Linked DNA regions of Saccharomyces cerevisiae S288C. Each later gene encodes a partner of the first gene's protein in a complex. Each region holds a gene or a part of one and is shown in the gene's direction. Other genes may lie near its edges.

Region 1 (3,280 bases):
TTTAAATAACAATAAAGCAACAACAATAATAAATGCTATCAGCTGCAGATAATTTAGTGCGCATCATAAATGCTGTTTTTCTTATTATATCCATAGGTCTAATCAGCGGCCTGATAGGTACACAGACAAAGCATAGTTCTCGAGTGAACTTTTGTATGTTTGCCGCCGTTTATGGTCTGGTTACGGATTCATTATATGGGTTTTTGGCTAATTTCTGGACATCATTAACATACCCAGCAATTTTGCTTGTTTTGGATTTTTTAAATTTCATATTTACGTTTGTAGCAGCCACCGCTTTGGCTGTAGGTATAAGATGCCATTCGTGTAAAAACAAAACATATCTGGAACAGAATAAGATCATACAAGGCTCAAGCTCCAGATGTCATCAATCTCAGGCTGCTGTTGCGTTTTTTTACTTTTCCTGTTTTCTATTCCTCATCAAAGTGACTGTGGCCACGATGGGTATGATGCAAAATGGTGGATTTGGCTCTAATACCGGATTCAGCAGAAGGAGGGCAAGAAGACAAATGGGCATACCTACAATTTCCCAGGTTTAAGCCTACTGGACTGAAAAAAAGGCAATTCGCGTACAATTTTCGTTGATCGTTCTTTATATAACCTTTGCATTAAATAAATTTAACAAAAAAAGTTCTTTCTAAAATAATATTATGGTGATACATGAATGTGCTTTAGTTTTTTCGTAGGCTCATCCATGTATATATATAAATGATAAAAAACTAAGTTACGATATTGATAGCATACGTATTCGTGTTGGTAACTAAATGGAAAGATGGAATATGTTATTGGCGTTGTTATCCCCCATATATACAGGTTTCTAATATGATTAAAAAAAAATTTTCTCCCCTAGTTTATTGTGTTCATAGCTTTTCCAGACTTAACGGCCAATGTTCAAAAGCAAGGAATTTGGTGATCCCGAAGACTCGCTGTTACCACCACCAGAATGTTGACTTGGTAAATAGACAACGTTAGATGAGTTTGCTAATGTTTGAGCGATGTCCTTAGAAGCTTCTAATCTTCTAATCAATAACAGACCATCACCAACTTTAGCTAAGGCTTTTGAAATGAATTCAGCACTTTCTGCTTCACCTTCAGCTCTGATAACAGAAGCTTGTCTCTCTTGCTCTGCCTTTTCGACAAGGAATTTGGCTCTTTCGGCATCTTGCTGTGCAATCTGCTTCTGCTCAACTGCTTTCGTGAATTCGGGACCAAACGTCATATGAGTGATAGAGACATCTTCCAACTTAATACCGAATTCGTTGGCCCTCGTAGAAAGCTCTTTTCTGATTTTTTGAGAAATAATTTCTCTCTGAGTAATTAACTCAGCAGCATCAAATTGAGCTACTATAGACTTTAAAACCTCATTGCCGATAGATGGTAACACTCTTTCGTCGTAATCGAGACCCAAATTTTGGTATATTGCGGGTAGCTGTAAGACCTCTGGTCTATGTAAGACTCTCAAGGTCAATGACACCATTTGCAAATCCTTCGTACCAGTATTGGTAGCAATGCTCTTTGGTTTCGTCCTCACATCGTATATGATCGCCTTCTGTAGCCAAGGCACCAAGAAATGAGTGCCTTCACCCACAACCTGTTGCTTTACACCATTGATTCTGTCGAAAATAACACCACGAGAACCACCCTTCACATCATACATGGAGTACTGAATCCCGCTAGCAATTATACCAATGGGCAACGCCACCTTGGTGATGACATCGATAAGTTTGGCAGAATTAGACATTCTTTTCTAAAGTAAATTATTGATTTTGAATGTAAGTTTCGTACCGTTGATGGTTGGTTTACCGATTTATTTTTTTTCCTCTTCTTTCTGCTTAATATTATATACCTCAACCGTTGCATCCATGAGATCGTCAAACTCCCTTTCCCTGAAATTTATTGATGCGATACATTCGCGTTACCCGTATCATCATGAAGACGAGTTTATTCTCATCAGTGTTGATCTCTCATACTTGAATAACTCATTTGCAATGGTCTAAGACTCCAACTATGTAGTCATAGTCATTCACTGAAGTTTCTCTTTTCGAAATCCTGAACGGAAGCGGAATATATGTGGTATATATCGCATATTACTGCTTCACAGCATGCAGCGCAGACTGGCCGGGTTATGCTGCCACTTACTGGAGACAACATAAAATATACATAATCATCGCCTTTATACATAATATGCCAAACTTCTGGATTCTTGAGAATCGTAGGAGCTATACGTCTGATACATGTATGTCGAGGATCGTGAAGGAGTACAAAGTCATACTGAAAACATTGGCCAGTGATGACCCCATAGCGAACCCCTACCGGGGGATAATCGAGTCACTTAACCCGATTGACGAAACCGACTTGAGCAAGTGGGAAGCTATAATTTCTGGGCCGTCAGACACACCTTATGAAAATCATCAGTTTCGAATACTAATAGAAGTCCCTAGTTCCTACCCCATGAATCCACCAAAGATAAGTTTTATGCAGAACAATATTTTGCACTGCAATGTTAAATCAGCCACAGGAGAAATATGTCTGAACATCCTTAAACCAGAGGAGTGGACTCCTGTATGGGATTTGTTACACTGTGTTCATGCTGTTTGGAGACTCCTAAGGGAACCCGTTTGTGATTCTCCACTTGACGTAGACATTGGTAATATCATCCGCTGTGGCGATATGAGTGCCTATCAGGGGATTGTAAAGTACTTCCTAGCAGAAAGAGAGCGGATCAACAACCATTGATACCACGTAGGATGGATGTGTTCGAATGGCAAACAATGGGCCCTCACTTTTATCTGATGCAATTTCTACCTTACCCGGGCAGCGCCAATTTATGAATACAAATACTTTAACAAATTGCACTATTGATGTATTGACACATTTGTATATACATATACATATATTAATAAGGAGCACGAATTTTTGACAAGTAGTGCACGCAATATCTACATTAGTTAGCTTTTCCATTGACGCTGAATTTTATTTTGGCAGCCCAGTAGATCGTTGAGGAGCTTTTTTCAAACACTTTTTCTCTCTTAACTCCACATACTTACGTAAGAAAGTGATGACGAAAAAGAAAGCAGCTACTAATTATGCTGAAAGGCAAAATTTAGCCAGTGAAGATTCTTCAGGTGATTCGGTTCATTTTAAGGACTTTATTCCCTTACAAGAGTTACTGAAAGATAAAAATTATGTTCCATCGGTGGAAAATTTGGAGAAGATCTTATATAATGAAACCATGTTTAATGATCAGAAAATATGCTCTAAC
Region 2 (3,316 bases), on another chromosome or scaffold:
CCTCAAGTGATTAATAATCCATCAATGGTCAATAATCCTCATCTTTATGTCGCTTCTATACCATCATGCCGGTTTAGCAAACCTAAAATGGGGGGTTATATACCGCCTCCATTGCTATGTGTTCAAGGATCCAAATTAACGGACCGACATATTTTCTTTTATGGCGGATTTGAAATCAGGACAGAAACCCGTGGTGATGAAAATGGGAAGTATCATCTCAAGAAAAGATTATATGTGAATAACACTGGTTACATACTCGATATTATGTCGTTCAAGTTCACTAAAATAGATATCATAGTACAACCTTCCAAATATAATGCATATCCGACAATGTCATCGAGGTTTGGTCACTTACAAATTTCTATTGATAATCCAAATAGGAGAGCTAGCGTTCATTCTTCAAGCATGAACGAAATTCATAAAATGGGGAGTGCTTCCATGAAACAAGGTAGCAGCATCACTTCCGGGCGGCTTGAAAAAGCAGCAGTACTTTCATCATTACCTCATAATACTGTGCACACGGTTATAATATTTGGTGGTTACAGACAAACCGGTGATGATCGTTACGAAGCAATGAATGATTTGTGGAAGATAGAGATACCCGTGATACGTCGCGGTAAAAAAGGTTATTGTAAGTTTTCAGAGACAGCTAACGCGATACTACTGACGCCAAGCGAAAAGGACAAATCGGATTGGCCCGAAGAAAGAGCCTTTTCTGCCTTTTCTGTTCATGGGACTTCGTTAATGGATAGGAGTTCTCTTGACATGAGACTATTGAACAACTTAAAAAACCATTTTGTTTTAAAACCGTCATATATATCACAGGATCGCGTTGTTAGTCCTAAACCGGTTTTCCCCATGATGGTTCATGGCACGCATCAAGATCTTTTCAATAGTGGCTCTGCGGCACAAGAATCGCCCAAAGCTGGTGCCTCGGCCAGCAGCGCAAGTGCTGCGAGCTTTGATCCCGATATGGACGATAATTTGGAAAATTATATAGTCAATCCAGGGAGAAAATCGTCATCTATTCCAATGACTGCGATAGGGAGACAGAGATTAATTTTAAGCCAAGAGAAGCCAGTAGGTAAAACTGTTGTATTGCATGGTGGGTCTAACGGTCTCAACGTTCTTGATGATATGTGGTTGATGGACTTAGAGTGTGAGACATGGACTCCAATAGAGACATTTGCAAAGGCAGATTCGAGCGAAGACGGTGATGAAAAATTGGATAGTGTGAACGTAGGTCTCGTTGGCCACAGAATGGAAAGTATTGGACGAATATGTGTATGTATAGGTGGTATGGTACAAGAGGATGTTGACCAATTTTACTCGGAGAATGATGATGAGCCTCCTCGAAAACGCAAGGTCGATACATTACCGTTGGGTGGTAATTTTTTGAACACAATTGATTTAAGCACGCAGTGTTGGGAAGAACATAAAATTACTCTGTCCAAGAAGGAAGACGATGAGGACAGACAAGATAGCGAAAATGAAGATACAAATTCAAATATAGTAGTTGGTGTCGGTGGCACTTCTTTGCAATGTGACAAAAGTATTATTTTGATTGGCGGATTGATATCTAGACGGAGCAATGTAAAAGAAATATATTTACATGGTACCATAACGAAAAGTATTTTTCCTAGCGTAAATCCTAGTGCATAAAAAGGCAGTTTTCAATGCTTTCACTTTGTAAACTTTGTTTAGTAGTAGAATATAATATATTCAGTTTTGTTTTATAGTCACATAACACTTTGTCTTTCAAAGAATAATCTCCTTCGCAATACCAGCGAAATATTTTGGCAAAAAATTAACAATTAGGTTCATAGTCCCCTAATTCAATTAATCGAAAAAAAAAAAATAAAATATAAGGGAAGATTGTGCTGATGAAATAGACAATGAAACAATAATGAAGAATAAAGAAGAAGAAGATATAAAACATGCCACCACCATCAAGAAGTAGAATAAACAAAACAAGAACATTAGGAATAGTGGGTACAGCTATAGCAGTGTTGGTCACGTCCTACTATATATATCAAAAGGTGACAAGTGCAAAGGAAGATAATGGGGCACGACCTCCAGAGGGTGATTCAGTAAAAGAGAACAAAAAGGCAAGGAAGAGCAAATGTATTATAATGAGCAAGTCGATACAAGGACTGCCCATAAAGTGGGAGGAGTACGCCGCTGATGAAGTGGTTTTGCTGGTACCTACGAGCCACACTGATGGATCAATGAAACAAGCCATTGGGGATGCCTTTCGCAAGACGAAAAACGAACACAAAATCATATATTGCGATAGCATGGATGGATTATGGTCATGTGTAAGACGGCTAGGTAAATTTCAGTGCATATTGAACTCCAGGGACTTCACAAGTAGTGGTGGTAGCGATGCAGCAGTCGTTCCTGAAGATATAGGCAGGTTTGTCAAATTTGTTGTTGATAGCGATGTAGAGGATGTGCTGATTGACACTTTATGCAATTAATGTAGAAAAGAGTTTCTTGTAACAGTATGTAAAGAATAAATAATTATAAGTATAAATAAAAAGAGAAGGTGAAATAATAATAAGTAAGCAGCTCGGTTATAAGAGAACAAAAACACACGAAAAAAAAAAAGTCGTCAATATAAAAAGGAAAGAAATCATCATTACAACTTGACCGAATCAATTAGATGTCTAACAATGCCAGGGTTTGACAATGTAGAAACGTCGCCTAGTTGGTCACTTTCTCCTGCTAGGATTTTTCTTAAAATACGTCTCATAATTTTGCCGGATCTTGTCTTGGGCAAGTCATCCACTAAAATGATCAATTTTGGTGCGGCAAATGGCCCGATGTCTTTTCTAACAGTAAAGACCAAATGCTTCTTGATATCTTGTAATTCATCATCTGTTGCGGTGGACCAACTAGATTTGTTTTTCAACACCACAAATGCAGCAACTGCTTGACCAGTCAAGTCATCGTTGAATCCGACAACAGCACACTCGGCCACAATTGGATCTTCGATAATAGCAGCCTCAATTTCAGCGGTAGACAGACGGTGACCAGAGACGTTCACCACATCGTCTACACGACCCAAAATCCAGATATAACCATCCTTATCCTTTGCAGCACCATCACCAGTGAAATAGTAGCCAGGGTAAGGGTTCAAATAAGTGTCTAGATACCTATCATGATTTTTCCAAATAGTTCTTGCAAATGATGGCCATGCAGCTTTGACGGCAAGGACACCCTCTGCGTGGCTGGTGTTAAGTTCTTCACCAGTGTTAGGGTCAAGAACAACTGCATCAATACCGAAGAAGGGGAATGAGGCAGAACCCGGTTT

What was found.
Region 2: the proteins of PEX4 (region 1) and PEX22 are in contact, whole or in part, in a crystal structure (PDB 2Y9M), measured with the Saccharomyces cerevisiae proteins. Residues at the interface, in NP_011649.1 of Saccharomyces cerevisiae: Leu103 (codon at 2,509), Ser109 (codon at 2,527), Asp151 (codon at 2,653), Asp153 (codon at 2,659), Ile154 (codon at 2,662), Asn156 (codon at 2,668), Ile157 (codon at 2,671), Cys160 (codon at 2,680), Asp162 (codon at 2,686), Met163 (codon at 2,689), Ser164 (codon at 2,692), Ala165 (codon at 2,695), Gly168 (codon at 2,704), Ile169 (codon at 2,707), Lys171 (codon at 2,713), Tyr172 (codon at 2,716), Ala175 (codon at 2,725), Glu176 (codon at 2,728), Arg179 (codon at 2,737); in NP_009346.1 of Saccharomyces cerevisiae: Glu84 (codon at 2,187), Val85 (codon at 2,190), Val86 (codon at 2,193), Thr109 (codon at 2,262), Lys110 (codon at 2,265), Asn111 (codon at 2,268), His113 (codon at 2,274), Lys114 (codon at 2,277), Ile116 (codon at 2,283), Tyr117 (codon at 2,286), Cys118 (codon at 2,289), Asp119 (codon at 2,292), Ser120 (codon at 2,295), Asp122 (codon at 2,301), Gly123 (codon at 2,304), Leu124 (codon at 2,307), Ser126 (codon at 2,313), Cys127 (codon at 2,316), Arg129 (codon at 2,322), Arg130 (codon at 2,325), Leu131 (codon at 2,328), Lys133 (codon at 2,334).

Annotation. Positions count from the first base shown.
Region 1 is NC_001139.9:754,694-757,973, forward strand, and holds PEX4 (E2 ubiquitin-protein ligase peroxin 4), read left to right. Parts: upstream 1-2,202; coding exon 2,203-2,754; downstream 2,755-3,280. Other genes in the region: FHN1 (Fhn1p), read left to right, coding at 33-557; prohibitin subunit PHB1, read right to left, coding at 896-1,759; CCR4-NOT core subunit CAF130, read left to right, coding at 3,077-3,280. UniProt on the Saccharomyces cerevisiae protein: Catalyzes the covalent attachment of ubiquitin to other proteins. Essential for peroxisome biogenesis. Required for UBC4-independent ubiquitination of PEX5.
Region 2 is NC_001133.9:40,240-43,555, forward strand, and holds PEX22 (ubiquitin-protein transferase activating protein PEX22), read left to right. Parts: upstream 1-1,937; coding exon 1,938-2,480; downstream 2,481-3,316. Other genes in the region: GPB2 (Gpb2p), read left to right, coding at 1-1,662; ACS1 (acetate--CoA ligase 1), read right to left, coding at 2,642-3,316. UniProt on the Saccharomyces cerevisiae protein: Involved in peroxisome biogenesis.